3 linked regions of the Cricetulus griseus genome follow. The protein of the gene in region 2 interacts with the protein of the main gene of each other region in a biochemical or structural test. Links are inferred from orthologs where the notes say so. Each region holds a gene or a part of one and is shown on either strand. Other genes may lie near its edges. The genes, in order: Prkn, Pick1 and Grm7.

Region 1 (11,006 bases), about 86 Mb from region 2:
CTACATTCCAGCTCCTGAAACCTGTGAATGCTACAAATGTGACAAAAGGAAACTACAAATGAGGTTAACTCAAGGGTCTGGAGAAGAAGGTATCCAGGTGCCCCCTAAATGTAACCACAAGTACTCCTAAAGACAAAAGAAATCAGACCCTTGTGAAGAAGGTAAACCTGCCATCTGAACAAACTCCAGAAGAGCTGAGTCAAGTGGATCTCATGACTAAAACCAGCCTGGGCTACATAGAAAAAAAAAAAACAAAACATGTTTCAAAACAAACAAGGAGCAGGAAAGAAGTAAGGAGTGGGAGGAGAGAAGAGGAAGAAAAAAGGAGAGATGAGAAGGGGAAAGAATGGGGAAGAGGAAGGCGAAGGCAGCCACAGCAGCAGCAGTGTGACTGCAGAGGAGAGTGAACGCTGAGGACAAGTACTTCTCCAGGTAGAGGAGGGGCCCCCGGCCCTGAGCCTACAAAAGGAGGGCATGCTAATAAACGATCTCATGAATTACCACAGGATAATTTCTGTTAAGCTATGAAACAAGGTAATTTGTTATAGCAGCAATGAAAAATTAATGGAGTAACTGAGACATGCCTCCAAAATGCATAAAGAAAAACTGGTGATTAAAGAAACTGAAACAGTGGTTCTAATGTTTCTCTTCCTGAAAACTCTACATTTAAAATCACAACATAAAATGGTTTTTTGTGTATTACCGCTTAAAAAATTCCTGACATTAGTTAACAGTGAAAGTATAACTAATGCAATACACATTACAACAATGGTGCACTCGTTTTACTCTGTATGCCTATCTGTGTGGTGTATGCACAGCTGCACAGACATCATCAAGTGTCCTGCTCCACATGCTCTGCCTTACCTGACTTAATCTGGAGCTCAGCCAACAACCAGCAAGCACATGATACTCCTCCCTACAAGGTACTCCAACACAGAGCACTGGGTTGCACACACAGCATCTTGCCTGAATGTTTATGTGGGAGCTAGGATCTGAACTTTATTTCAAGTATGCACAGCAAGCATGCACAGCCAATGGCCCATCTCTCCAGACCCATTTGTCTTATTCTTAGGGATGCTGCATAGCATGTTGCTTTTGAACAGTTCCAAAATATTGTATGTTGAATACTAGAGTTCCAAAAATTCTTACAGCTCCAAAATAATACTTTGGGTATACACTTCCAATATTTCATACATAGAAATAAAATATTATTATGTACTTTTCAGTTATGGCAACTATGCTCTTGTGTTTGAACCTTTTAAATAAATCTCTTTAATAATTAAGAATTCATACATAGTTATCAATCTTGAATCACTAATGTTATCACCCTATCATTCTCAAAAAAGTCATTACCTCATCCAACAGCAACCTCAAAAGGTGTCATTACCCCTGCGCTGAATAATCTGACTTCCATAGTGTGTACTCTATTGGTTATAAAATGTTTAAACTGATTGAGAAGCTAGAATTACTCCTAATAAATGTATATGCAAATAATTATGACAATGACTTGATCCAATAGGGAAAATTAGACTTCCAGAAAAGTTATTTCAGAATTGTTCCTCCCACATTTAAACAAAACAGAGTTTATGATATATTTATTGCTTGTGCTGGCTAGTTTTGTGCTAGCTTAACACAAGCTAAAGTCATCTGAGAGGAGGGAACCTCAATAGAGAAAATGCCTCAGTAAGATCAGGCTGTAGACAAGCCTGTAGGGCATTTTCCTAATTAGAGATCAATAGGGAAGAGCCCAGCCCATTGCAGGTGGTGCCATCCTGGGCTGGAGATCCTGGGTTCTATAAGAAAGCAGGCTGAGCAAACCATGGAGAGCAAGCCAGTTAGCAGCACCCCTCCACGGCCTTTGAATAAGCTCTTGCCTCCAGGTTCTTGCCCTGATGTGCTTCAGGGATAAATAGTGCTGTGGAAGTGTAAACCAAATAAGCCCTTTCCTCTCGAAGTTGCTTTGGTTATGGTGTTTTATCACAGCAATAGTAACCTTCACTAAGACAATGACCATAAAACATAGGCATATAAAGGCCAGCATATGGATACTTTGTAAAACTTCAGCAATCCATAACTGACAATCGGTTTGTTTGGTGACTGCTCTGAAATCAAAATGATGAAAATGAAAGTATGACAAAAAGTCTTCATGTAGTAAGATATGGCAGATACCATCCACAACATATTTAAAAAAAAAAAAACAGACAAATTTAGAAAATTATGGTGGGGGAGGCATCAAAACAAAAGAAGAAATTCTTTTGTCTACCCATTGGGCAGCTTATCAATTCCTAAATAAACAAGAGTGGGTACTGTCTGATATTAGACTTTCATCCTATTATTCTGCTTGTATCATTATAGAGATTCTATCTAAATTGAGTACACAGTGAAACACAATTCTCATGTGATAGGGTGAATATAAACACCACACTCTGCTTCTATAATGGACAGGGTAAAATCTGTACCACATGCACATGCCATCAACTCAAGTAAATCACAACTCAACTCATGGGGATAAACGGTTTCCTGTTTCTGTGTTTTTCCCTACAGAACACACACACACACACACACACACACACACACACACACACACACACACACACACACACGGAATATTCCTGTGCAGCACCAACTAACATAGTCCTTACAAAGAATTGATACTAGAATGATCACTGTCAATTGAAATATCTATTAATTCAAGAAACAAAAACATGCTTTTTAATGAGAGGGGAGTGAAAAGACTGGGTCAGTTTGATAGAATCCTAAGTGATCAGGAAATACAGTCCTAGGGGAAATAGTACTGTCAAGTGCATTCCTTTTAACCACAGTTCTCCTCTATAAGATGAAGTCAATAAGCTATGATGGGGGCTGTAATGTAAATCAGCTAGCTGTCATATAAGTCTCAGTCTTTAATATTATAAATGTAAGAAGGAAACAATTCAGATTACTACAAAGAAACATTTAAAATGAGCTCATTAAATGCAAATTAAAACAGAAACATTGAATAAGCACTGGGCTACCATTAAAGGCTAGAGAAACAGGAGGTAAGAAACAATTCTCATTGATCAAAGAACTGAAAGCTAACAGAAGAAAGTATTTTGCATTGAACCTGGTTCATGAATATTAAGCATTTTGAAATATCTTCCTTTCTTTCTTTTTCTTTTTCCTTTTTCGGGGGCTGGGTGGGGTGAGGGTTCAAAGAAGCTTTAGAGGTAGGGATGGATTTGCATATCTTAGTACCAAGTACTTCCACTGTATCATTTTCAAGCCATAGAGCTTTGGATTAAAAAGAAAAAAAAATGCAGACTTCAGAAAAACCTTTAGAAACAGAAGGAACATTTGTAAAGGACATAAGGTTTTTTCAGAGGCTTTGGACCCAAAAGAGAACTGAATAAAATTATATAAACTCTTCTATACAAAATTTTGTAGAACTCATTTTGTAACACAGAGGTACAAGGGCACCTCAGAACAAACAGTATTTAGATGTAGAGTTTCTTTCATCTAATGTTATTAAAGCAACAGGGCAAATAGCAATGCATAGTGTATCCAACTACAACTAGGAATTCTAAGACTTAGAAATCCCTGCATACAAGTTTTAAAACAAAGCCAGATGTTGGCCATTAGTCAATATAGATAGAATATTTACAATGACAAAGCATTTTTTTCTGTTTATTCCATTTTTGTATCATTGGCACCTACTAACAGTACCAGACACATATACATGCTCAATGCTGGAATCTGCTTTTGTAAAACTAAATCATTATAAAATGAATTAATTTTCCTAAAACTCATTTTCAAAGCAAAATGTCTACCCTTTATCTATAAACAAGACAATAAAAAACACTTTCTGGCAAGTGATAATAAATAAAATGTATTCTACACTGTCAGAGAGGACAGGGCCCCCAAAAGACACCTGTGCAGTATGCACACTGAAAGGCTGTATTATTGCTGTACACTCATTTAGAAGAGAGGATACTTTCATAATTAATGTATGTTATAAATCTGACTTTGGTCAGGAATGAGTGTGATCTTTATATGCAGTTAAATTCTCTAGAAGATTTTAACAAGATACAGAAAATAATACTTTAATCAATTAAAAGTGCAACACCTTTGAATGGAACCCACAGTCTTATGAACCCTAGGATATATCACTGAGTGACATTTCTATTTCAAAAACTGGGTTTTAATTTAAGAACTTCCTACTTTAATTGTATGAGAACCCATGTGCTTTAATAGCTGATATTATCAAATGCCTAAATGTATAGGACATTTAGAGCAATTCACAATTGTCACCACCAAAATTCAATTTTAAACACAAAGAAGTGCTCATTTTTAAAGATTAAAAAATGTAAAAGAAGTGCTCAAAATTACATTTTTGTCAGTTAAATTTTCTGAAGCATTTCATTATTGTGTATCCCTTCTCCATGCCTCGAAATGGCAGACTTTTTCATCGACTTCAATTAAATTATGTTTTAAGTCTGTCTGGGTCAAGGCATTTAACATGAAAATCATAATATCCAAGTGGGAAATGTAAGTACTTTTAATGCCATCTCCATGACAAAATGGGAACCCTCTATTTTGAGACAATAAAAGGGAAATTATTTTATGGGTAATGAAGTATTTGTTCCCCTTTCTCATATTTGGCCAGGAAATCAATCCATGTTTTTCTCAAAGGAAAGCAAGGACTTCAGTGTAAGAGTGGGTTATTGCCTGCACTAGGAGGATATACAGCAAGGTGGGAGAGTATAAGTATAAAAGGCATCAGCTCTGTGTCGTGCTGAGCAGGATAAGACACTGTTCAGTTCCTAGAGGCATTTATGTGTCCTTTGACCTGCAATAGACTTCTCTGGATAAAGACTGTCTGTGTTTCCTGGCTCAAAGATTAGTCACAACGAAAAATGACTCCTGGAAGGAACTAGGCAATAAAACTAATTGAACTAAATAATTCATTTATTTTAACATTCTTTATGCAGTTTAATTAATAAGTAAGTTCCTTTTCTTGGGGTGGAGGGACAGGGGTTTAATTACTTGTGTTGGAATATACACTTATTCACCCTACAACAACAGTAGTGAGAGAAAGAAAATGAACAGCTTTAAAATTCACCTTGAATTTCCCTTGTTTTTTGTCAGTAATAGATTTAGTTGTGACGCCCAGATATCACACTTCTTAAGACAGTTCCAGATAAACCTTACTAAAACTGTCTAAATGTGTTCCATTTTAAAAGTTACTACTATAATAATAATTTATTAGATTCTTTACAAAAATAATTATTTCTAGTTCTTAACTTTCTGTCTTTATATAGCTTTATGGGACATTTGCTTCTCAAAATCATCCGTAAACTAAGTTGGAAGAAACTACATGTGTGCAATTGTCTTCAAAATATGAGCTATTTCTTTCTTGTAAAATCTCCCATAATTTTTTTTTTCCTAATCTCTCCCACTTGGTTCACGGACTCGGTTCAGGTTTGTGTTTACAATCAGATTTTAAGTAAACGTCACTTAACAGGCTCAGTAAGATTCATAAAAACGTAGCTTCTCTACACACAAGTTTCCAATTCATTCACCAGAAATACGCACTACCCTACCAAAGTTGAGAGCTGGGCATCTTCAGCTTGTACCTCTGCCTCAATGAGGATGTTGGTGACCTGGCATGATTCCCCCAGTGAGGGGTAGACTGCACACTTTAACCTTACTTTCATAAGTAAAAGCAGACTTAGGGGCTTGCATCACGTAAAGCATTAATTTCATAAAGCCACCTGTCACCTGTCTTCTAGGCGCATCTGGGATAGATCCCCTTCAAATGTGCTCAGGGTGATACTTCTGGAGCGTCTATCACAAACAAGCTCACTAAGACACCAATTGCAGGAGTCTACAGAAAGGAAACCTTCAAACAGGAATGATCGCCCAACACGGCTGTGCATTTCAACTCATTCTGGGGGAACACCCCAAGTGACTGGGAGTTTGACATCTTCGAGAAGGACCTTCTACTTCACGGTGCTTATAACAACCCTAGCGGCCGCTTCCAAAGCCACACTCATGCAGCTGCACTCGGTGGAAAGACTCCATCTGTACTATTATCTACTCTCGGCTATTCTTTTCGCCTCAGATCTGCGAGGAGACATTTAGTAAGGCAGAACTCAAGGAGCAAAGTGCAATCTCTTGCAAACCCATTATCTCCACCAGTCCAGTGCTTCCCGGGGGCTTTTTCAAGTCCTGCAGTGTCTAAACCTGTCCTAAAGTGAAGGACAGGGACCAGAAGGGAAACAGAAATCAGAGCTGGGATGGTTATCACCCAGGGGTGGCAGAGCGCCAGGCTGCTGCCGGTCGGGCAGGACGAGCCCGGCCGCCGGGGGGCGCTGTGGTGCACCCGGGTGTCGGCAGGGATGCCATCTTCAGGGAGCACCGGGCTAACCTTGGCAAGGGCGAGGTGGGGACTGGACGCTCACACAACGTATGCTATAAGACACACCCGACCCGGCCCGGCCCGGCCTGGCCCCTGGTAGGCCCCCGGGGCCCACGGAGTGAGGAGCACACGCCTTCGCCCTCACACTGACAGGTGGCTCGGGCGAGCCCCCGAGGAGCCCACTGGGACCCGCGGGGTGTGACAACGTGGCGCCACACACGGGCGCGGGGCGGCGCAGAGAGGTTGTACCTGGCAGGCACCCACGTACCTATCATGGTCACCGGGTGGGTGGTGGCTGCGGGGCGAGCACGGCCTACGCGGGCACCGGCACCCGCCCGAGCCTCCCACCAGCGTTTCTCCCAGGTTTAGTCAGTCATCCCCGGCTCACCACCCCGCGCGCCCGGCAGGCTCAGTGCGCGTGCGTGCCTGCCCCCCGCGCGGTGCCTGCTGGGAGTCGTAGTTTTAACGCGTAAGAGTCTCCCCGCCCCCACAGCCGCTCCTGAGCTCCTAAGGCGGCTGCGGGCTTCTGCCGTTCGCCCTTTCCGGATTCAAACCCAGGAAATGTGCGTCACGAAGGGGCGGGACTATCGGGTAGTAGTGTTGCCGAGTCGCTTAGCAACCAGGAGGCTCACCTTTGGAAGCTTGTAGCGGCTCAAGCCTCGGGTCCCAGTCCTCTTCCCGCCCCTCCCCTCCCCTAAACTCCCTTCACCTTGGAGCTGCCAAACATCTGGATCGCTCTGGGCACCACGAGGGGTTGGATTTAAACCTGTAACTCGCTTTTTTTACATTTTTCCCTGACCTCCTGCTCACATCTGTAAAGCCCACTGGTTTGTCTACCACACTTTTGATAAGAACAAAAACGTATCCTGGGAAGATGGTGGCAGAAAAAGAGACCCTGACCTTAAATAAATGCCCAGACAAGATGCCGAAGAGGACCAAACTGCTGCCACAACAGCCGCTCCCGGTGCACCAGCCTCATTCCCTGGTTTCTGAGGGCTTCACAGTCAAAGCCATGATGAAAAACTCAGTCGTAAGTGATCTTCCTCAATTGAACACACTTGCTCCAAGTCGGGGGACACGAGGTTGTAGAGCCTGGCAGGCCCCGGGATGGATTCCCAGCCCAGGTACTGGGTTCTGTTTGCCAGAACTGGCAATGGCTATCAGTAAGCCAAGCGTGCCCACCAATATGCAGAGAGGTAGACCAGATGGTTAGATAGCTTTGAGGACAGGTAATGTCCAGGGCTAGTTTACAAGCATTTTCATGAGAACTTGTGCTTTCACCACTAAGCCCAAATTATACTTAAGCTTTTTAACTAGAAGGGGGAAAAAATCCTTTTCCTTCTTGCAACTTAACTTGGTTCCAGTCAGCAAAGGGCCTTCTAGAGTGAGAATTCTTAGAAGTCATAGGCTTTCGAAATTTTAACACGAAGCAGTGTATAGCTGGAACACACAAACTCATCAATAATCTAAAGTAACTTGTTTCATCTGGAACATTTTAGAATGTCTTAGAATTCAACAACATCTGACAAAGGGGTATTAGTCTGTTGTAGTGTTCAAAAGCTACTTATGTGAAAACTGGTTCCTGATAGGCCATTTAAATACATTTTTTAAATAATATTAGCTGTATTTCAAGTGTCCCTACCAATACAAGCCCTATTTCATTTTTATTACTTGGGTTATAAAAATAAAATATTCCTAACACGAATGGGGGAAAATATTTAAAGGCACACAAATGGTTTAGCTGTATGCATAACACTGCTTTTAATCCTTCTTATTAAATAGCCTATAATTTGGTATGCTAAACCAAGTTTGTCTCTTGAGTAAGCACTGCTTAAGAATGTGTGTAATTTAGTATTTTCAAATTTGTACAATTTATAACTTGAAAGGACCTTATTATTCAATATATTACCTTAATAGTGTTCTCCATTGTCCCATAATTTTTTTACTTATTTATTGCAAGCTTAATACTGCCTTTTTCTAAACACATACTTAGAAGACACAAATAAAGTAGATTACCTGTAGATTTGCAGCTTGGATTCCTATGTTGTTAAACAGAATCATATTTTTATTTTGTGTGTGTTTGTTGGTTGATTTACAGTAGTTAAAATTCTTTGAAACAGTCTGAAAAAAACTGCAGAGTTACAGGAAACAGGAAAGGTTGTTTCTATATTCAATACTTTTATTTCACCTCTTTTGAGTTCTGTGATGTAGATTTTGTCACATTATAAAGCTAAGGTATATACATCTCTCCCTCTGAAGGTCTACTTCCATTCAGACATATATGCCAACTTCATCTTTTAATTTCAGCCACATGTTCCAAAAGCCAACCCAAAACCACTTCTCAGGTGTTTCACTCACCTTGCATTCCTGCTGCAACACTGTAGTTCAATAAGTAGTATTTCAATTTTCTTCCAAGAAAAACACACAGAATATGCCCTAAGAATTATGGAAATTATTTATGAAGTGATGATGTCTGTAAACATTTATTATTTGTGATTATAGTTTCTTAAAATCCCAATGACAAGTGGTCTTAAGCAGTATATGTTGGGGGGGGGTTGTTTTTTTGGTTTGTTTTATTTTTGGTTGCTTGAACTTCTGTTTTGGTCCCAATAAAAATAAGCAATCTCAAACACCTTCAATCAAACAATAATATCCAAATTCATATTGATAGAATGTTTCCCATTAAAGGTTGAAAGAACATACAAGATTTGAATATCTGTAGTTTACTTTCCTTCTTAGAGTATGATGATGGAGCCGATGACCAAAAACTACTTAGCCAGTATTATTTGCTTATGTAGCTAAAAGTGGACCATTTATACACTTACACTCCTTATAAAAAAGCAAGTTAGGGGTTCCCCCTCCACCCTGACCTCTGCTGAGAGCCTTCATCCAGTGGCTGATGGAAGCAGAGGCAGACACCCACAACTAAACACTGAACTGAATTCTGGAACTCAGTTGCAGAGAGGGAGGAGTGAAGACCAAAGAGGTCAAGACCGGGCTGGTGAAACCTACAGAATCAGCTGACCTGAACAAGCGGGGAGTGCATGGACCCAGGCTGATGTCTGGGAGGCCAGCACAGGACTGATCCAGACCCCCGAACATAGATGTCAATGAGGAGACCTCACACTCTATGGGGCCTCTGGTAGTAGATCAGTATTTATCCCTGGCATAAGAAAGGACTTTGGAAGTCCATTCCATGTGGAGGGATGCTCTCTCAGCCTAGGCACATGGGGAAGGGCCTAGGCCCTGCCCAGGATGATATAACATACTCTTGGGATTCCCATGGAGGGCCTCACCCTCCATGGGGAGCAGAGGGTGGATAGGGTGGGGAAGGAGGGGAGGGAGAGGAAGAAGGGATTGACAGGTAAAGTAGGCTTGTTTCTAATTTGAACTAATAAAAAATAATTAAAAACACACACACACATACAGTGCCAAATTGCTATTGGCATGCGAAATTTTATCTAATCACTATTCTGAAGAAATGAAGGAAAACCATGTAATGTATCATCTGTGTGCTGGATCCTAGTACAAAATTCTAAAAGGAAAAAAAATCAAGTTAGGTCAGGCATAGTAAGCACACTATAACCTCATTCTCAGGAGGCAAAGGAAGGAGGATCAACCCTTGAGGACAGCCTAGGCTACAAATGAAGTTAAAAGGAAGTCTACAGTACATATGGAGACCCTGTCTCAAACATATACTCAACTGCAAGTTAGAATATGGATCCAAGGCTGTGATGATGTTATTTGTAGGCCCTGATTATAGGCCCATCAGAAAATAGGCTAAGAAAACCATATAATTCCAAAAGAATACAACCTTTAATATATATATATACATATATATATATATATATATGTATATATATATATATATTAGACATGTTGGAAAAAATTTCAGTAACCAGCAAAAACAACACAGCCAGCGGAGAAGAACAAGAAGTTTCATGATGTATGTCCCAGAAGCAGCTCCTATCACTTCTGCTTAAGTCCATGGCTAAAGTTGAGTCTTAAAGCCGCAGCTAGTTGGAAGCAGGATGGGGAAGTATTGGGTTCTAACTGGTAGCAATTTGGCTGTCTCAAACTTGCAATTATTATTGTAGCAGAAGGGAGATGGGACACTGAGGATAATTACAAGTCATAGACTGTCAGTGCTAAAGATGGTACATTAGAGTGAAGAGAAGTACAAAGATAAGTCCACCTAGTCACAATACAAACAATTAAGCATCCATAGCTAGGGTTGCAAATACTCATTCCATCCAGTGAAAGTATTAATGATGGTGGAACCCAGGAGCAATTAGCTGATGGGGCCTCATCACCCATACACCTCCCAGGTACATAATGTCTCCAAAACTGCTCTCTACCAGTCAATTATCAATACATGTAGATTAAGCTTTCCATAACAAAGTTCTGCCCTCCCTCTCATGTCTGTAATACCATTGTAGCCGAACCTGGACTTTTCCCATCAGACTCAGCCTGCAGATTTCATTGTTTCATTCACTGTTCCATCTCCAGCCAAGGAAAAGTTCCTGCCTCATACTATGGGCTCTTTTCTGCTTTTTTTTTTCTTTTTTGGTCAAATGAAATCATGAATATTTCATTCTATAACTACTTG
Region 2 (10,460 bases):
TGGCTCCCAGCAGGGTGACTCAGTGTGGCTGCAGGTGTTCTCAGGCCTGGTCAGGGCCTAGAGGGCTTCACCCTCTCATGAGAGGTATGTGTATTTCATCCCCGCAAGTGGGGACATACCCAGAGTTGGGAGCCCAAGGAGGCCATGCTCCCTGCACTCCCAAGCCTGTGTCTAACCTTTCCATCCCTCCAGTCAGCTGCCTCCCATGTCCAGACTGTCCTGAGTTGAGGTGGCTGTTGTTCCTTTACCCCCTCCACCATCCTGTTCTGGTCACTGGCTACTGGCTGACTCCTCTGATGAACTTGGAGCCCCAAGGGCAGGACCTGAAATTTGGTTTTACCACAATCACTCCCCAGACCTAATGTGGTATTGTGTGACAAAACTTTTTTTTTTTTTTCTATAAAGGAAAACATTTAATTGGGGGCTGACTTGCAGTTTCAGAGGTTTAGTCCATTGTCGTCATGGTGGGACATGGCAGAGTACAGGAGGACATGGTGCTGGAGAAGGAGCTGAGAGTGCTACATCTTTTTTTGTTTTGTTTTGTTTTTGTTGTTTGTTTTTCGAGACAGGGTTTCTCTGTATAACTTTGGAGTCTGTCCTGGAACTTTGTAGAGCAGGCTGGCCTCGAACTCACAGAGATCCACCTGCCCATGTCCCCTGATTGCTGGGATTAAAGGTGTGCACCACCACTGCCTGGCTTTTTAATTTTTTTTTCTTATTTATAAGTGCCCGTCCTTGGCTTGGCTTGTTTCTAGCCAGCTTTTCTTTTCTTTCTTTCTTTTTTTTTTAAAGAATTTTTTTTATTAGTTCAAATTAGGAACAAGCTTGCTTCACATGTCAATCCCTTCTCCCTTTTCCTCCCCTTCCCCCCAATTTTTTTTTTTTTAATTTAACTTCTTTATTGATTCTTTTGGAGTTTTACATCATGCACTCCAAATCCTGGTTCTCCCCATGTCCTCCCCTCATCCCTACTGTGCCCCCACAAAAGAAAACAAAAGTAAGCAAGCAAGCAAGCAAATAAAAGCAAAGACAAAACAAAACAACAAAAACCCCTCAAAACCAAACCAAAACAACAACAAAGAAAAATCTCTTTGCTTCTCCTTCTTTCCTGCCTTTCCAATACCTCTTCATTTGTATTGGAGGCTTCGGTGTGTCATCCAGTATACCCCTTTATCCTGTCAGCTTTACTGGCTTTGCAATGAGTCACTGGTCTGGTTCAAGGCCTCTGGTTTCTGGTACACCATCCTCACTGGATCTTCCCCAGAACTCCTCTAGGATATCCTCTGGTCATCCTGAGTCATGGAGATCTGGGGGTATCATTCCACAGGACTAGTTCCTTCATGAGCTCCAGTAGATCCTAGATGGGGTAGATGCTAGGGTAGGCCAACCCAAGGCCCGACTGTGGGCCTGGGTGGTGGTAGCCAAGATGCTGACAAAACTTTTATTGGGACGCCACAACACATGTCTGCTCACCCAGATTGGGAGCCCACGGCAGACCAAAGTACAGATATCACCAAGTCCAAGCTGGTGAATCAGTGAGCTTTATTGGGATCATTGACAGGAACAGAAATGACTCAGAGACAGCTACATTACCAGGACTCATCCCAGCATGGGTGACAGCTCACAAAGCTGGGACCCTGGAGCACACTGCACATCCTGCAGGCAACTCAGCAGGTTGGAGAGTGTCCTTCCCAGGTGCCTCAGTTAGTCCAGACCTCTTCCAGGTAGCTCGTCTTGTTTCTGCTTCTCTCAGGCAGCTTGTCTGGTCTCCCTTCCGAAGTCTAGCTCAGTCTGGGAGGATCACTTTGGCAGCCAGGGGTCGAGTGACTCTGCCCAGTTTCAGGGAGAACTATGTACTTAGTCTATACTTGTTTGGCCATTGGCTGTGATCAGCAAATTCTAGTGAGAGACCTTCCTCCAAGCCCTCCTAAATCCCTTCTCCCTGACCCCAGCCCATCCTGTGCACTTGTCAAAGCCAGCCCTGGCCATGATCAAAAGGCTCTCCTCCTCTCTAACTGCTGTGTAGGGAGCCTTTGCTGCTGGCCCAGGATTTGCCTTCTGGGCCTATGGGAAGCTGCCCTTGGGTGCGGCCTAGGGAAAACCCACCCTCATACACTTAAGACTTTGGAAAGAGCTACACTGAAATGGCTGTCAGCTCCTAGATTGCCCCAGCCAGTGGTAGGTGGAAGGAGGCTCCTGACACGGGTCCTGAGCTAGCTCTGCCTGGCTCTAATTCTCTAGGTTTGCAGGGAGTTGAAGAGTAAACCCTGAGGCCCAGGCTTCCTGGTTTTTGGCAGAGGCTAGTCCTCAGGGACTACCCTTCACTCTCTAGCCTAGCCTCTGCTGGGCTGTTGTCCTCCCTGGCTTGCCAGGCTCACAGCCTCTCCTGTTCTTGACCTCCACAGATGGGCTGGTAAAGCGACTGGAGGAGCTGGAACGCACTGCTGAGCTGTACAAAGGTAGGTAGGCTACCTACTGCTGGTCTACCCTAGGGACCCCTGTCCTAGAGAATGGCACTGGGGCAAGGAAGCTACCTAGAAATTTTTGGAAAGAGTAAATGTATCAGACGCCCCTCCAAATTCCTACAGTCCCAGAAAGACTGTCATATATAAACCCAGCTGCTTGTTACATGGAATCCACATAGAGGGCCAACTCAGCCTTCATCCCCAGGCCTTGGGGAAGACCCTGGGACCTAATGACCAGTGAGGACCTCAGGTCCTCACTTAAAGGCTGGGGGCCAATGTGATTCCTAATTTCCGTCTCTGTCTTCTGTCACTTGGGTCTCTTCCCACAGGGATGACGGAACATACCAAGAATCTCTTACGGGCCTTTTATGAGCTGTCGCAGACGCACCGGGGTAATGGCATCCCCAGACATGCCATGTGACCCTGCAAACCCCTGTCCCTCAGGGCTCAGTAACACCGAACAGTGAAGTATGGCTAGATTCCTCTCTGGGGCTCTTTTCATCCCTATGCCAAGGCCAACTCCCAGCTCTGACCTCCAGCCTGACACCGGGTGGCAGTGACCATGGAGCATCTGGTCCAGCTGGCCTTTGGAGGATGCCATGTATCTCTCGATGCTACTTACAGTGCAGGCAGCCTCTCTTCATTTTGGTCTCTTCAGTACCATGGTGGACAGTAAAGACACCAGCCCATTTATTGGCCAGGAAGGGAAACCCAGACAGGAAGTGGATCCTGAGCTTACGGTGGCAGAGCCTGGCATTCCAACCCAGGGGTCTAGAGTCAGCCTGGTCCTCTGCTCTTGCCTAGCATGACCATCTTAGATTTTCACTTAGCCTTTTGTCTGGCCACTTGAGGGAATAAAAACTAGCCCCTTGGGAGCCTAACCCCAGAATAAGGATGCAGCAGCTACTTGGGAGTATGGTCTAGGCCTCTTGAAGTTGTACCTCCTTCGAATGTAGACCCTTTGAGCAGACCTTGGCTTTCTGCTCATCAGGCCCCTGTCCTGCTGCCCAGCAAGCCCCTGGCTTCTCCATTAGGGGGTCAAGAAAGGGCTTTAAGGCAAACTTGTCATGCAGCCTTTGGGGACGTGTTCTCTGTGATTGGGGTACGGGAGCCGCAGCCAGCAGCAAGTGAGGCCTTCGTGAAGTTTGCTGATGCACACCGCAGTATTGAGAAGTTTGGCATTCGGCTACTGAAAACCATCAAACCGGTGGGTCCCTCAGAGTGCAGTATGTCCCACTGGCCAGAACAGGAGGGACAGCTTAGCACAGGAGGGGTTCTGGGCTGGAGTCAGGTGCCAGATGCAGACACCTCTTGGTCACCTCTATGGCTGGCCAGCCATCAGTTACTGTGCCTCCCTGGGTCCCTTTGACCTCAAGACTCTGCTGGGTCACAATGTGCCCTAGGCCTGACATAGTCTTCTAACCTTGACACATGCCCTTTGTCAGATTTCCAAGTCCACTGGAAGGGATGACACATCTGTGCCATTTGTCACCCAACCTTGTAGATGCTGACGGACCTGAACACGTACCTCAATAAAGCCATCCCTGATACGCGTCTCACCATCAAGAAATACCTGGATGTGAAGTTCGAGTACCTGGTGAGTGGCCTACATTGCTTGCCAGCTGGGGTGAGCCCATCCTGGAAGCCAGCCCTGAGACAAGCAGCCATGACATGGCAGGCAGGATGGGGCCAGACCTCTGCTGGGTCAGGAGTGTGGGGTCAAAGGCCTGACTAATCAGAAGCAGCCTAGACCCTGAATTCCCACACCAGGGAGCTTGGAGCTACCTAGAGCCAGGAGAGCTCTCATTCTATATTGTGTCTACTCCTTGGAACTTGTCACCTTTAGCAACAGCTCAGACTAGGTCTGGGATACTTCAAAGGACATTTGGAGTCCTAAATGATAATCCTATTGTCAAAGAAGCCTAGAAGATGATGTGTTAAGTATTTAGGCTTCTTGCTGTGGCACTTCTCAGTGCTTTGACTAGGCCTGTGCACATGTCTTCAAGGAGCTCCCAAGCTCTTTTGTTCCTCCAGCACCACCGACACGATGCCTTTTGGATCTTTCCTATTCTGGAGATAGAACCCCGGGCCTTAAGCATGCTAGGCAAGTGCTGTACCACTGAGCCACACCCTGCAGTCCCCGGAGCATCTCCTTAGACTTGAATTTGGTTGCTTTGGGATTTCTCAAGCCTTCAGGCCATTGCACCTCACAGAGGAGTGCCTCGTCCCTCTGCTGCCCCTTTCCTGGGCCTCTGTTCATGCCTGCTTCTAGGCTTTCCCAGGTGGTCCAGACCTAGGTGGCCTATGTGGCCACTGCTCTCTTGGTGTGTCCAGGTTCCCAGGTGACCTGAGGGCATAGGGAGGCAGGGCAAGAGGGAGCTGGAATTATGAGGATGGGCATCCAGGAAATTTGGCCACTGACTTCTGGCCTCACCCATCCCATCCCATACAGTCCTACTGTCTAAAGGTGAAGGAGATGGACGACGAGGAATACAGCTGCATTGTGAGTACCAAAGGGGCCCAGGCTGGTATCAGGAAGGCTTGGGGTGCCCACACCTCACCTTCAGAAAGCCCTGGGTCTACCAGAGGTATTGGGTGTGTCAGGCATGCTGGGGTCTTAGTTTGGGGCTGTCAGCCCATTTAACCAGCTCCTCTGGATTGGAGTACTAGCTCATTTGCCATGAAGTGACTGACTCCCCGGGCCTGCTCTAGACCAGGTACCCCAAGTTTGTGAGGCTCCTATGGGAAAAAGCTGACTGATTTTACTTCTGAGCTATGCTTTGATTTAAAAAAAATAGTTGGTGTTTTTGTTTTTATATATAAGTGTTTTGCCTGTGTGTGTGTGTGTGTGTGTGTGTGTGTGTGTGTGTGTGGGTGGTTCCATTTTCATGGCTGATGCCTGTGGAGGTCAGAAGAGGGTGTTGGAACTAAAATTACAAACAGTTGTGAGCAATCATGTGGTTGCTGGTAACTGAACCCAGGCCTCTGCAAGAACGAGTACTCTAACCGCTGAGCCACTCTCCAGCCCCTGATTGTTTTTTGTTGTTGTTTTTGTTTCTAATTTGTGATTTGTTTGCAGTCAGGGTCCATCTTTTGGCCAATATTCATTTATTTCATGTGAGCCGTGTTCGTGTTTCTGTGGTTGATTTTTTCTCCCTCCAAAGTTACTGTTTTGAGCTTCTGTCTGTCACTGGCATCTGAAAGCCCATTGTGGTACAGCTGTGAAGTGGGCCAGCCCTGCAGTTTTCCAGCCCCATCTGTCCTGGGAGGCCCAGGTCAGCCCAAGAGAGCTGACAGGCTTGCCTGCCCCAGGCCCTAGGAGAGCCCTTATACCGAGTGAGCACAGGCAACTATGAATACCGCCTGATCCTGCGCTGCCGCCAGGAGGCTCGAGCCCGCTTCTCCCAGATGCGCAAGGATGTGCTGGAGAAGATGGAGCTGCTCGACCAGAAGCATGGTGAGGGGCTCTAGAGGCCTGTGCGCTACCTTAGTTGGTTCTTTCTTGCCACTTAGCCCCCAGGGTGGGTGCTGTTCTCTCCCTAGATCAGAGATGAGGCCTAGAGAGGGTAGTCTCCCAGAGGCCTCAGGACCAAGCCCTGGTAGGAGTCCACCCAGAGCCTGGCTGGGTTGGGGCCAAGGCTTGGGTCAGTGATCTACTCACTCAGGCAGCCTTCTCTGTTTCCTGAGCTAGGAGTTTAGAGGACTAGGTGGCCAACTAGGCAGTGCCAGGAAGCCTTTGGCTGTGCCCCTTTGCACCCTTCCTAAGGCCTGGGGCCCGGAAGTGCCCCCCAGTGGGAAGGAAGGCCAGCTCCAGGTCTTCCCTGTGAGGAGGCCGCCATAGCCACTGGGCCTGTCTCTCACCTCCTGCCCAGTCCAGGACATCGTCTTCCAGCTGCAGCGCTTCGTGTCTACCATGTCCAAGTACTACAATGACTGTTACGCGGTGCTTCGGGATGCCGACGTCTTTCCCATTGAGGTGGACCTGGCACACACCACTCTAGCCTATGGCCCTAACCAGGGTGGCTTCACTGATGGAGAGGATGAGGACGAGGATGAGGAGGATGGGGCAGCTAGGGAAGTGTCCAAGGATGCACGTGGGGCCACTGGGCCCATGGACAAGGGCGGAAGCTGGTGTGACTCCTGAGTGCCCCCTCAAGTGGACCTGGGGGGCAGGGCAGCGGGAGGACCGCGTCGGGAACGGGGCGGGGCCACTGTAGGACAGTGAAGGCGTGTAGTGGCGCATAAAGGCCTGCTGGCTCGGGGCGCCTGCCTCCCTGCTCCTCTGTCCTCGCACAGTGAACCCAGGCTGCAGCCTGGGACCTGGACTCTGGCCCCCGTCCTTCATTCCCACCTCCCAGCTGGAGGGAGAGCTGGGCCTTGGACAGAAAAGAGGAGGGGCTGGAGCAGGCAGAGTGCAGGACCTGTCCTGTGAGTACCTCGGTGGTGCCAAGCCTGCAGGGAATGGGAGCCGGGTGGACATCCGAGGCTGGGGCCAGTGTACCAGGCCGGCCCCCCCGAGTCCACATGCACACCTTGGCAGCCTATATTTATTTGTTTCTGGCTTAGCCTCAAGGGCTGGATGCTGGGCCTGTATTGAATAAACAGAAACCCAGACAGAATGGATGGGCTCCTTGCAATGGCTCAGACCCTCCTCTGCAACCAGATCTCAGCTGCCTCCTGGGTCATGAGGGAGGGTGTGGGACACAAGGCTTAGGCAGTTTTCTCTGTGTCCATCATTCATCTCTTGAAGCACCTACAGGAGCAGCTTTCTTGTTCCCATAGTGTCTGGGGTTGAGAGGCTCAGGACCATACATGAGAACAATGGAGCTGAGCTTGAGTCTGCAGGTCCCAAAGCCTTGACTGTCACCTGCTCCCACAACTTCCAGCATCATTGAGCACTCTCCCTTCAACCCTTTCTGTATACCTGGTGATGAAGTAAACCTTTGTTTGGGCAAGGGGTCAGGACAGACACTGGTCAAGTGATAAAAGGCTGGCGGGACTACTCCAGGAGTACCTGTTCAGTTCAGGCCCAGGGGCACAAGGGAGATGCTGCCGCTCTTAGGCAGTAGTCTGGCTGGCTGCTTTGCCTGGCTGGGTGTGGCACACACCTGCAACACTTTTATACTGAAATTCCCATTAGGACAAGGATATGGCCATCTTGAGAGCAGAAGGGGAAGGAATGTGCAGAGTTGGCAGGGTCCAAAGTGGAAGAGCAGCTTTGCTTGGTAGCTTTGAGCTCTGCAGTCCTGCAGAGACCCAGGTGGGACTGGAGGGAGATAGCCTATCACCATCCATCCCATGGGGTCCAGCACTGCATCTTTGAAGAGACATCCTGTTAGTGATCACGGGCACAAATCAAAGCCAACAGCTTGAAGCTGGGCATGGCGGCCCATGTCTTTAATCCTAGCGCTTAAGAGGTAGAGACAGGTGGATCTCTGAGTTTGAGGCCAGCCTGGTCTACACAGAGAAACCCTGTCTCAACAAAAAACAAAACAAAAAATTACAGCTTGGGCCCCAACAGTGGCCTCTGTACCCTGGGCTGATTCCTACCCTCCTCATGTTTCCCTGTGTGAAGTGTGGGTAAATTCTACCTTGTTGGATTGTTACGAGAATCAGTGAGATTCATAAAGGGCATAGAATAGTCTTGACCAAGGTAGCACTGTAGGTACATGCTTAGATAAGATGCCAACCCTTCTGGAGTCTGGGAGCCACAGATAATGGAAGTCAACAGAGCATTGCCTGGATTCCCCAAACCTTGGACGGAAATCATGAGGCCCAGCTGGGAACAGTAGTTGGGAAGGGGCCATTTGTGGGAGGGATTCTGCTGAGGTCTAGCTAGAAGAGTTGGGAGTGAGACAGGAAGGTCCTCACACGGGTCCAAGTGCAAGTGTTGTGAGTGATAGTGGACATCTGTAATCCTGGCACTTGGGTAGCTGAGGCAGAATCTGAGAGTGGTCATGGCCCACAAGTCCCTGTGGTAGAGAGCAGGTGCCAGGGCCACTGATGAACGGGCTGCCCACAAAGCCACAACTATGTCCTCCAGGAGTGACAGTCACTAGAGATCCTCTAGAGGGGTGGCCATTCCAGGCAGTGAGGGGACACCCACACCTCGAGAGTCCCTGAGGTTTTTTCTGCTGACCACCTAGCTCCCATGCTCTCTGGAATTGACTCTGAAGTCTACACATGAAGACGACCCAAGATAGGTCTCCACTCCTGACCCTGACCTTGGGCTCTGCTTCTCGTTCAGATGGCGGCCAGGTGTGCTTCAGCATACAGCATCCCCAACAGCCTCTAGGTCTCTAGTGGGGTTCCCCCAACCATTCCTACTGAACTCCAATGGCTCTTCTTACCCCTCCCCTAGTTCAGGTGGCCCAAGCCCTGGCAGAGAGAGGTACAGGAGCAGAATTTGTCTTTCGGTAGACCTTTATCTTGTGCACTTGTCGGTCCACAACAGCTTCACTGGGAACAAACAGCCTGGCAGATGGGGTACCCCAGGAACCACCCCAGGCTGCCTCCCCATGTACCGGGTCCTCAGAGGGGAAGCTGTGTTCTCATGCCCTCTGGCCACCTGCCTGATGTCTACACAGACTCGTGACCCAGCCCAGGCACTTCCTCCACCTCTGGTTCTGGTTCTGGCCCTGGGGATCCCACCCGGGGGCTCAGCACCTCCAAAGCCTCAAGACTGCCAGGCTCCTCAGTGCTGGCAGGCATTGGCTCAGAGTCTCTCTCGGCCTCCACATCCTCGGTGTCACTGGCTCCTCCCTCAGCAGGTAGACCTGATGGGGTGTCCTCAGAGCAGTGCAGGCAACAGTAGGTGGCAAGTGCCATGAAGACTCCTGCCAAGGCCACCTCAGAGCCAGCAAGGTAGAAGATGATCTCATAGTTCTTCAGGGCATCCACCAGGCGGCCTGGGGAGGGGGGAGGTGTCACAACCTGTCAGGGTCTCCTCTGTACTAATTGGATGGGACTTAACTGGTGACACACATATGCCCTATCTTTATTCCCGATTACAAATGCAAAACTCCACATGGATCCTTTCTTGTGGTGTCCCAAATGTCTTCCCCTCCCCTCCCCTCAATCTAACACTTCTGAGGAGGTAATATCGTATTATATTATGCCTTATAGTATACAAGGTTTCCCCCTCCACATCAATGCGAGTCCGCAAGTGACTTGGCCTGCTTGTGGGTGTTAGGGTGGCAGTGGGACTGGACCCTGCTTAGCTCTGGCTAGGACTAAGGGCTTCCCAACTCTTTGTACATAATCTGGCCTATAGGATTTGGCTCAGCATCCTCATCAGGAGCTACAAGCCATCCAAACAGAGCTGGTGAGGCGCCTCAACACAGGCTGGGGGTGTAGGGCTCTGCCTGTGCTCCGGAAGAGGCTTCATATCCTTTCATTGTCCAGGCTCCTTTCCTGGGCACAGTATCTCTGTATGGACGGAAATCTCTGGTTTTGTTTTGGGGGATTGAACCCAGGGTGCCACACATGCTAGACACATGATGACCTGCCACAGCTACATCCCAGTTCCCACTGTGCTGTTCTTCCATGGGCTTCACGTAAGAGTATTCCTTTGTCTACACCAGGTTGTGATCTGCAGGAAGTTTCCTGATGACTATAAGTTCACTCCATCCAAATGTCTCAGTCCCTCCCCTGTCTGGCCATACTCAGCTTTGGGGTGTCCCTCACTTTATCAACAAGCCTGCCTTCTTTCCCTATTAGATCGATCTAACAGCAGGTGGTCCCTGGGCTTCTGCGTGGGCCAGCCTTGAGGCTTTTTGGGTGGTGGACTTGAGAGAGGGTACTTTGGTTCAGGGGCTTTGCCTTTTTTACTGTATCAAGCAGGCAGATAGAGTGCTTGGGACACTGCCATCTGGCTGTCTCTGAAGGAAAGCTGGCTGCTTACTCCATCTCTGTTGCAGCCTGGGCTCCATCGTTGCTTCCTCTCTGCTATTCACTTCTGAAGCCTAACTGTGGCTCTCTCACTTAAGGCTGGCT
Region 3 (10,578 bases), on a different chromosome or scaffold from region 2:
CATAAGTCATAGCCCAAGCATGACCACATCCTCCTATTCATTTAGTATCTTATAGTTTGCCATGAACATATACATGCAAATTGATATTCAGTGCAGGGAGAGAGGCTAGATTCAGGAGGTAGGTGAGAGAACCAGAATTTGAAGAAATTCTGAAGATCAGCATCTTGGGCATTAAGTGTCCAAATGAGATTTGGCTTTTCTGAACCTCCATGGAAGAAATCACCTCTGTATAACTAAAAGTCTTTGAGCTTCATCCTAATGTCCTCTAGGCTTGCTAGTTTTCAATATGACCATAGATCCTGACAAACACTGGCCAGAGCTTGAACATGAAATATATACACAGTGCAGAGCCAGCATTAACACTTTGACAAGTTTGTCTCTTTAGCCCAACAAAAAGATGTTTTTCTTTAAGGCAATCAGAATTTCAACTGAAGGAGCAATTTGAGAGGAAAATTTCAATCCTTGAAAAGTATTGCAGTGCAGAGGGCAGTTTTAATGACTGCACATTTTAGGCCAAGAAGCAAGCTCATTTTTGTGTAGATGTGTGCAGTGTGGAGGTGGATGAGTGGAAGCGGTCATGCGCCAGATGGCAAGCTGCAGTGATGGAGCGGAGCCGTTCAAGATGAAAACACCAAGGACTTATATACATTCACACTAAGTGTTCATAGCAAAGATGAGCTGGAGAGCATTTCTGGTCCATTGATTACTTTGAAGTTCATACTTTGAACTGGCCTGTCTTCTTACATATCTCCCACCACCTTAAAAAAGAATTTCCCATTGGAGAGATGCATATTTTCAAGTGCATATATTATTTATAATTTTTACCAGATATCTTAAATTAAGCAAATATTTCCTGTGTCTCCTCCATTAACAAAATTTAGATTTTGGAGATGGTTTGAGTCATTCTTGGTTTTCAATATAATATGACATTATGACATTTCATAGCACCAGAACATTCTTGTCTATTTCCATTTACTTAAATTTCACTATTAGTCTTAATGTGAATTATGCATATTTGTGATTTCAGGTGACATATTCAAATACAATTGGACTTGATATCTCATTTTCCACATTACAAGCTTGTTTGGGAACATTTCAAATGATGTAGTGTAATTTTCATCTCAAATTATTTCATTCCTTTAAGCTATGTTTCTTTCAGATAAGCACTAATGCTAATATGACAGAGTCAGTCTCCACTATGGACTCTGACTGGACATCTCAAGATTAAACACTTGCCTTTATTATACCCACATTTCCAGATCTGTGATGTCCAGTGCAGTACTTATAGATACGGCTGGCTACTTATTTAAAACAGAGTCAAATAAAAGCAAGGTTCATTCTCTCATTTGAAAAGCTGCAGTTTCAGTTGCTTGAGAGACACTGGGGTTTATGCTGGCTGTATTAGACAACACACATTCAGAACACACTGTTGCCTGCTGACAGTGCTGTTGGATGACTTCACAGAAATGTGACCTTTCAATGCTCTGCAAGAGCTGGGCCATCAGAAACCCCAATGTTTAGAGATACATGAATCTCTTCATGTGGTTCAGACAATTTCTACTTATCTTTTATGGTGTTTTAGGGTAGTGGATACATAATTTTGGAATAGCTAGAAGAATTTCAAACATCTTTCAGACTGGTTGAGAGGGAAACACTGTATATAATTGTACTATTCTCTTCATCTTTCTTTCTTTCTTTTTCTGGAGTATTTGTTATGACTCTAGATACCAGAACAACCACACAGTCAAAAAAATTTTAAGGATGTCCAATGATTTCTCAGTGAGATTATTGCAATGATTCCAATTGCCACTACAATATCTGAATTTTAAAGTCAGTATGATAAGGCCTCTACCTGAACACCCTTCTCTAAATGTAGTTTATTACTGCCTGTAGACAACACAATAAGCAATGACATATTTCACATTACAAGTTTTAGCAAAGACAGTTCCCCTGGAAACACCTTCACCACCACCACACTACTACGAGCACGATCACTAGTGCCACTACCCACCACCATTATGAAACATAGTAGTAGTAGTAGTAGTAGTATTAAAGCTATATTACCAAGTAAGAGAGCCAAAAGGGTAATTTATGCATTGGGAAGTTGTCCTGGTAGTTATGTTTCAGGACACACAGTAGTAAAGAGGAACAAGCATGGATTTAGGAGTAAGACCTGGGTTAATAAAGCCTTGGATGCTAAGTAGGTCCATGACTTTGGCTACTTTACAGAAGCTCCTTGCAGTGAGGCTTCATCAGTAAATCGAGCATAAGAGCATCATCCCTATTATTGCTTGGCAGAATAAATGCAGTCTCTTCCATATAAAATTTCCACATGGTACATATTTCCAAACTGCCTGATGCAGTGTCAGTATTAATGATAGTGTTTACATTTTAGAAATTATTCAAATACTCAACAAGGATTGATATGAACAAAAGAAAGTTAGCTATAGTCAAAAGTTATTAATTCTTAAGCACTGTAGGATTAGTTGTCTGGATTTGTAAGTTCATATTTGTTAATTTTCAAAATACAAATATAGAGAAGACACTTTGAACTTTACTGCTCACTGACTTGGAGGAAAATCTTGTTAAATTTGTGTGCTTGTGCATATATGGACAGAAATATATGATTAAAGTTGTTATTAGAATAGAGAATGGATAAAGTTTCCATGATATGGAAATTTGGTAGAAGTCTATTGTAAATAGCTACAGAAATTGAACTATACAGGAAAACTTATCGGTATGAATAAAATTATGACTATAAGCAACACTGTCCACCTGGCTGTTGGGTATAAGACACAGTGTATTGAAGCTAACACTTCCGAGTCACAGCTGTCAGTTTTTGTTCTTCACAAAATGACTTCCTTCTTCAGTGTCTTAGGAGATACTTCCTCCAAAAGTATGTTCCCTTTAGCATGGCCGTCTATGGCCCTGTATACTTAAATGAAAGTTGAATAGCTTTATCCAATATTTTATGATTCTGTTTCTAACAGACTTGCTTTGAAATAATTTCTCCACATTCACATCTCTGTGGAAGGAAAACATGCTTCTAAAGTTCTTCAAATTTTTAATTTTACTTTTAAGGCTGCAGTTTACTAGGTATCGCTACTTCTCTAACTGGAAGTTGTTTTCCCAGAAGGAAATTCCTTCTAAGAGGAAGTCACTCTCCTAGTGGAAAAGGCCTGATAAAAGAGCACTGACAGACATGTTTATCCCCCCTGGGTGTTTCTGGAGCAAAGGACAAAGAGACAAGAGAATGAAGAGTGTCTTCAGAACCCTGAAAAGCTTTCTACCAAGAAAATGGTAGCAGAAATTAATCAAAACCAGAAGAGTAAAAGTTACCATTCATCAGGACAAAGCATATACAAGCTAAGCTTCCTCCAGAGAGCAGCAACACACATCATATTTTCTGGAAATTTCTCATACAGGATGGAAATATGAAGAGAGTTACTTACTGTTTGGGTCTACGTTTTCACAGAGTTCTGTCTTTGCCTCACCGTTGGGCCTGTCACTGGGTTTGTGTGACAGCCTTGATGACATGGTGGCTGCTGTGACTACGGCCTTGAAGCTTCTCTTTCTTTTCTGGACATTGAGTTCAGGGTGGAAAATGATGATGTACACTTTCGGCATGTATAGCATTCCCAGCGCCACTGACGCACTTAGGTTCATGGAGATTGTAAGAGTGGTAGTTTGTATGTAGAGCTAGGAGACACAACACACAAGGCACTATTACAAATGACCGCAGAGGGTACGTGAATTCTTAAAGTGGTGTCACAAATGACTATGGCTAGGAGAAAAACAGCAATCCCAATGACTTTCTGCTAAAAAGGAAGACAACTTGGCTATATATCTGTTTCAGAATTTAAGTCTATGTTTGTTAACATTGGGAAAATCCTTATGCATAAAGAGATCTTCTAGCCTGATGTTCAGGATAGACTTTTTATCAGATTTAAATTACTTTTAGAGATAATGATAAATATGAAAACATGAATTATAGTATATCATAGTAATCTGTAATCTTGAGTACAAGTTTCTTATTATTTTAAATCCCCAAACAAAATGTTTATTATATGATTTTCTATGCAGAGATTCTAAGATATTATTTGAAAATTACTTCCATTCATAAATTCTTCTTTTGTGTCATTTTTGTAACACTGTGCACCTTCGCCAAACATACAGAGTAGTGATCTAGCCACTTTGGGTTATATGTGTTTTTTAAAGCATAAAAGTCAAGGCACAGCATCTAGTTATGACTTTTGATTCTGTTCACATTGGTAAATTGCTAATTAGATAATACCTCTGCCATTATGTTATTTATAGTTTGGATGGTAACCACACCCTCATCATCATAGCTTTGAGCTGTGTATTCAACCATATTAAGAAATCATTTCCTGTCCAATTCATAGAGCCATTGTCTCAGTGAATAGGCAAAAGTCTAAGGACATGTGGTTTAATGCAGTCTGTAAGGGGAGAGTCACAAACATCATGTGTATCTATGATTATGATGTGTCCTCCTATGATCTAGCGCTCCTTAGAAATCACATATGTCTGACTTATGCATGTGTTCTAAAGGCTAGATTAGATGAGGCAACTTGTAACCCTTACCTTATGTATCAGTGCAACTCCTAGGTACTTGACAATGGATTGGCCTGTGGTAGTCCACAATCCCTACTTACTTGCTGGAGTCTATTAAGAGTCCTTATGATTCTATATGGACTGTACCTGACTACTTTTTCAGATGAATTTCCTACCATTCCCCAACTCTCTGAGTTCCGCCTTCCTGACTATTCATCCTTGTGGACTCTCTTTCAGATCTTGCATAGACTTTGTTCATACAATCACAGAAGCTTTTTACAAGTTCTTTGTATTTAAGTTCATTAGCTTCTACCTGGCCTCTTTCTCCTTTACTTCTTAAAACATTTTCCCTGAAATTGTTCTCACCCATTATCTCTTTATTTATACATTCTCCAAGGAAAGTTTCCTGTACAGATTCAATATCAAGTTGTAATTATATTCTTAATTCCTTGATTTTCGACTGTCCCATCTGTACTACAGGTTCCATGAAGTTAGACTCTTTCTGGAGGCATTATTCTCTACTTAATAGACAAGTGTAAGGATACTACATAAATGTATGATGGATAGAATCACTTGCTTTACAACTCTTTTTTACCCATACCTCAGTGATCACATATCCAATCTTTAAAAATATAAATATTTCCATCATATCTAACCAAAATTTTGGTATTTCAGATAAAAATACATGAGACCTTTCCATCTTGCTTATTATGTTCAAAACCCTGGATTTTGTCTCTGAAGAAAAAAGGTTAAATAGAAAGTATTGAGGTACATAGTTGAGAAAGTTCAGGCTATACATATTCTACATATACAAGTCTATAAAGATCAAACCCATGAAATTTCAGGAAATGAGCCAAGTTGTGGACATCTTAGCATGAATGGTTTGCTTTTAAGCCTCAAGTTTTCATTTTGATGTCACATTTAGTACTTGCTTTTAGTAATGTAATTTATAACACTTTTAATATCATGTCAGTCATCAGTTCACAAGATGCTTATCATGTAATAATGCACTATCCTTGTTAATCTCAAGGATACCACTTTCTTATGACTAGCTAATTAACTCATCCAAATAAATGAGTTAGTAACCATTGTTAATCCTTTTCATTAGAGAGTAATTGCCCATGTACACATAGCCCAACCTCTTCTGGGACTGCTCCTTCCTTCAGTCCAATCCTACCATGGCTAACTGAGATTCTGAATAGTAAAAAAAAGAATATCCTTCACCTTGTCCAAAGTTGCTTAGGTCTTTGCGAAGAGCATAGATAGCCTTAGAATTTCCACCTTTATGTATTCATCATTAATCTAAATAAATTTCCAGAAACCAGCTTCAGTTACAGGGTTAGAAGTTGTTTTACTTACATTCCCACTTAGGTACAAATGCTGAGCAAAGCAAGCCAATGTCTGTGCAAATTATTTACAGCAGTTTTCTTAAAGACTCATACATGACAACACCTACTGTTATAAGGATTCTCTTGATCTTGACTTTTTTTTCAACTCTAAAATGAACATAATAGCAGATCCTATCTCATTGGTTGGGGATCAAACTAATGAATGAGGAGAGAAATCACTGCGATACTAGCAAGCAATGAGCCTGTGGAATTTCTGCTACTACTCCTTACTTCCTGCCACATTAACTTGTGGTGGAAGGGATCTTATGCAAACATTTCTTCTTTAGCCACTTCCAGGTATTTTAAACTTAAGGATATATGTGATGTTTAGGTTTGAATATCTACAAGGGCCCATGCTATTCCTGCTGAAGCAGATGGAAATGGAGCAGAAAACAGGTGAGACTACAATGCACAGATTTAGAGATAACTCAATGCCAGGCAAAGCTCAGCTGAGTCTACCCCATGCATCTTCTGGCCTATCTCTATTAGTACGATAAGATGTGGGGGTATATCATATGATGCCTTCACTATTCCAGAACTAATAGCACTATTAGTTGACTTCTTGTCTTTGATATGCTAAGAATTTGGAAAACTTCAGTGTTCAATCTGTCTTTGACAGAAGCTTAATATCTCCCACTGATCACATTGAAATGTCACTTTAATCAAAGCTTTGTGTTTCTCCAGGAAAGGAAGAAAATTGTCATAGAATTGAAATACTGTTCGCTAGGCACAAAATACTTCCTGTACTCATGAGCTATTGAGCTTCACCCTCCCACCCCAGGAAAATGTGAAAAAACATTTATTCAATCCACATAAGGCACCAAGGACAGTTCAGAGAAAAGGTATTCCACCCAAGTTTACCTTGGTAAGTTAGAAAGTATATTGGTACTACTTATAGGAAAGTCTCTGAAATGCCAACTACAGCATGAATGATGACTCCAGATCCTGTCCAGCTTCCTGTCCTCCTTGTTGCTCCACCTAAGGGAGTACTCCCTTCACCAACAATTGCCTGATCCTTCTATAACCTTGGGAACAGCCTTTAAGAATCTTGTAACTTTCTGAGGTTCCTGTGCCCCTTTAGATCCTGTAGCTTCCTGAATCTTAGAACTTCCTTTCCACCTCCAGGAGGGAATGTTGTGGTTTGGAAGAAACAGCTCTACAACACAAGAAAGCTGCCAGTTGCTTTGTTAAAAGTTTTAGAGCCAGTTTGGTTAAAGACAAGCTTGGGATGTTTCAAAGCAAGCTGTGAATAGCTGCAAGGGTAACAGACTTGCAGCTCTGGGAATTATGATATTCTTAATATGCCTCAAAGACATTAAGAGAATAGAGGAAACACAGGGTTTAGAGAAGGAGAGAGAAGAGCCACGGAGAAAAACAAATTTCTGATTTGGAGAGTCTATTTTCAACAAGAATTATAAAACAAACTGGAATGTATTTATACATGTGAATCTTCATTAATAGCAGTTCATTAGAAAAGACTTTGAAGTAATTAACTGATGTCAAACCACTGACATAGGAGACACATCCTAAGTATATGCTATGCATCCACTATTATATGGTTTTTGATCCACTGGGTGTGAGGCATCTTTTTCAATGTCACATCAAGAATAGCATTTCACTGAGCTCCTGCTGTGTGCCTACTGTGGATCAGGTGCTGGGTTTCATAGATATACATATATAAGTATGAATGCATACATGTATACAGATACATGCTCTGCTATCAGGAGCTGGATTATAATAGCAGACGCAAAGCAATCAGAATTCCTTTAGGAAATGGTGACTGTAGCTAATAGCTGTGTATTCTGTACTTACGAAGCACTACGAGAGGACATTTTCAGTTTCATTACCACAAAAAATATATCTGTGAGGTAATGTAAGTTAATAGTTGTATTTAGCCATTCCATAATTCAGATCTTTCAAAGCATCTTGTTGTAGACAAAAACATGTGTAATTTTATTTGTCAGTTAAGCATAGAGTGTATAAATAAATATTAAATGACAACATAATGTAAGGCCTCATTATATCCCTTTTGTCACTGTGCATTGGTCTCTGCTTACTTCCACTTGAAATGCCCTCTGCTTTCCTGCCCTGCCTTTGGGGCCTTGCTTACATCTGATGTTCAGTGGTGTCCCTTATACATACAACTTTCCCCATATCCATAGTCAACAGCCTTTTTTTTTTTTGGTATTATTCAAGTAGTAATCTCCTTGTTCTATCTAAAATAGTGCAGTCAGTGTTCCCTAAAATTTGGTAGGATCATGCAAATTCAAGGCACTTTGCATATGTGAATGCCCTGGCGCTATGACTTCTTGCACATTATCTGCACAAGCTAAATAAGATTCCAGCATGGATGAGGGCAGATGGTCATGACATCTCATCCCTAACTGAGGAGCTATTGGCAAATGATGGCTGATGGGAGAAAGTGAGTTTTCTTCAGAGATGTAGCCTCTGACAGCCTACTCATGCTCCAGTAGATGACCCTATCTATAGCTACAGCCATACTAAATGGGCTCTGAGAGCTTAAAAAATAACACACAAAATAGAAAAGAAATGCTGCTGTATAGGCAGGAAGCAGGAATTATAGGGGAGAAACAAAGATTAATTTGAGAAAAATACATTATATAAATGGAAGAAATGTTCAATAAAAAAGGAAAGAAATTTCCCAGCTAATGATCAAAACACTGAAAGAGGAGAAAGAAAAATGTAAATTTATCACAGAGCAATGGAGACATTAGAAACACCTTATGCTTTACATGATTTTTGCACATTCGGGGTTTACTCCACAGGAAACACCTGTCGGGCATATAAGTCCTATTGTGGGATATTGGTATACTGTGTGAAGATGTATTGCTGGCATGGGTGTAATAGAAAGCTGAACGGTCAATAGCTAGGCAGGAGAGTATAGGTAAACTTCTTCACAGAGGGAACTCTGGGAAGAGGAAAGGCAGAGAACCAGCAGGACGCGAAACAAGTCAGACATGCAGTACAAAGAAGAGGTAAGTGAGCCATGTGGTAGAAGCAAATTAATAAAAGCAGGTTAATTTAAGTTAGAAGAACTAGTTGGGAAAAGGCCAGGCTTTCATAACTGATAAGTCTCTGTGTCATTGTTTACAGGCTGGTGGTCCAAGAAAGTCTGATGAGAAAGCTCATTACAAAGCTCCACCTAGATGAGTCAAGTTGTAGGGGACTACATACGAAGTGCACACTGTTTCAGACATCTATAGCTACTGTCTTCCCCAGCCTCAATGCCAAATCCAAATGCCCACCTCCTGGTATCCATTTCTTTTTTAAATAAGATAAAGCATCACATTGATTGGATGCTTTATGCATTTATCAGGTATTTCCTAAGATAAATTCAGTATCTGTGCATTTTGTAATGTGTTTTAACTCTCACCCCTCTAATGCATGCGTGTGTGTGTGTGTGTGTGTGTGTGTGTGTGTGTGTGTGTGTGTGTATGTGTGTGTGTATGAGAGAGAGAGAGAGAGAGAAAGAGAGAGAGAGGGTACAGAGAGACAGAGAGAGAGAGACTTACGATGTCAATGGTTACCCTATCCATCATGCAACCTTTCCATTCATCCCATGGTTTACAAGGTGCACTATTGCCACCAATGGTAATTCCTTAAGAAAAACATATGACATTTTTAGGCAGGGCTGACTAGGTAATCAACAAAATGCCCTTCACTGAGTATGAACTCTATGAACTTTGATTAATGGAAAACTTCAGCCTTTGAACCAAGAATTCAGTGTGATAAACTTCTTTGGCATCCAGCATTGTTCCTGTCATTCCTAGTCCCTATTTTCCATTATGAGTGTGTATCAGTCTGCTCCTTACTATTGTGAAGATTGTGATTGCTGTGTCATAGACTGTTGCCAGGCTCAAATGATACAGCCATGGAAAAGATAGAGAATAGTGCCAAGCAGGCAATGAGCACTTGATCAGAATGCTAGTATCATAGTCTCATTTATTGGCTAATACGTCAAACAACCTGCTTTCTGTCCTGCTCTTTTTCATTCATTTTTCCTTTTTTAAAGGTTTAAATTAGAAACAAGCCTGTTTTCATGTTAATCCCGTTCCCTCTCCCTCCCCTCCTCCCCTATCCCCAGCCAACCCCCAATCCCATCTCCTTTCTGCTCCCCAGGGAGGGTGAGGCCTTCAATGGGGGACCGTCAAATTCTGTCATATCATTTGGAGCAGGGCCTAGACCCTCCCCCGTGTGTCTAGGCTGAGAGAGTAGCCTTCTATGTGGAATGGGCTCCCAAAGTCCATTCGTGTACTAGGGATAAATACTTAATACAGCTCGAAATGACTCTTGTATAGAGAATCCAATGAATAACAGCTTGTTTTGAGAGGACTGTATTAAATTTACTTCTGGTTTGTTTGGAAATTTACTCAAATCCCAATTTCATTTGTCATTGACTATTTTGTGCAATTTTGTCTGCTCCCAGGTGTTGGCTGAGAAGTGAGATGAAGGAGCTTCATGGGAGTCTTCAGGTGGCTGGAGAAGCTTCAAATGCTTCTCCCAGTGGAGAGCTTGTGTAATAGGAATAAAAATGCTGCTTGATGGTGTCCCTGTGAAGAGTGTGTGCTATTACCTAGCATATATTTGAAGTATTCAT

The links.
Region 1: the proteins of Pick1 (region 2) and Prkn form a complex in vitro, tested with the Homo sapiens proteins (3 studies listed by BioGRID and IntAct, with this or other methods). The link is inferred for Cricetulus griseus from reciprocal best matches to the Homo sapiens genes PICK1 and PRKN.
Region 3: the proteins of Pick1 (region 2) and Grm7 form a complex in vitro, tested with the Homo sapiens proteins (2 studies listed by BioGRID, with this or other methods). The link is inferred for Cricetulus griseus from reciprocal best matches to the Homo sapiens genes PICK1 and GRM7.

The regions. Positions count from the first base shown.
Region 1 is NC_048595.1:289,989,624-290,000,629, forward strand, and holds the start of Prkn (E3 ubiquitin-protein ligase parkin), read right to left. Parts: upstream 6,821-11,006; 5' UTR 6,673-6,820; coding exon 6,666-6,672; intron 1,702-6,665; exon of another isoform or gene 1-1,701. Other genes in the region: Pacrg (parkin coregulated gene protein), read left to right, coding at 7,272-7,427. UniProt on the Homo sapiens protein: Functions within a multiprotein E3 ubiquitin ligase complex, catalyzing the covalent attachment of ubiquitin moieties onto substrate proteins. Substrates include SYT11 and VDAC1.
Region 2 is NC_048595.1:376,359,574-376,370,033, forward strand, and holds the end of Pick1 (PRKCA-binding protein), read left to right. Parts: intron 1-2,405; coding exon 2,406-2,459; intron 2,460-2,794; coding exon 2,795-2,857; intron 2,858-3,538; coding exon 3,539-3,672; intron 3,673-3,969; coding exon 3,970-4,062; intron 4,063-4,917; coding exon 4,918-4,968; intron 4,969-5,777; coding exon 5,778-5,922; intron 5,923-6,337; coding exon 6,338-6,609; 3' UTR 6,610-7,102; downstream 7,103-10,460. Other genes in the region: Slc16a8 (monocarboxylate transporter 3), read right to left, coding at 9,045-9,373. UniProt on the Homo sapiens protein: Probable adapter protein that bind to and organize the subcellular localization of a variety of membrane proteins containing some PDZ recognition sequence.
Region 3 is NC_048601.1:33,235,510-33,246,087, forward strand, and holds part of Grm7 (metabotropic glutamate receptor 7), read right to left. Parts: intron 3,700-10,578; coding exon 3,453-3,699; intron 1-3,452. UniProt on the Homo sapiens protein: G-protein coupled receptor activated by glutamate that regulates axon outgrowth through the MAPK-cAMP-PKA signaling pathway during neuronal development.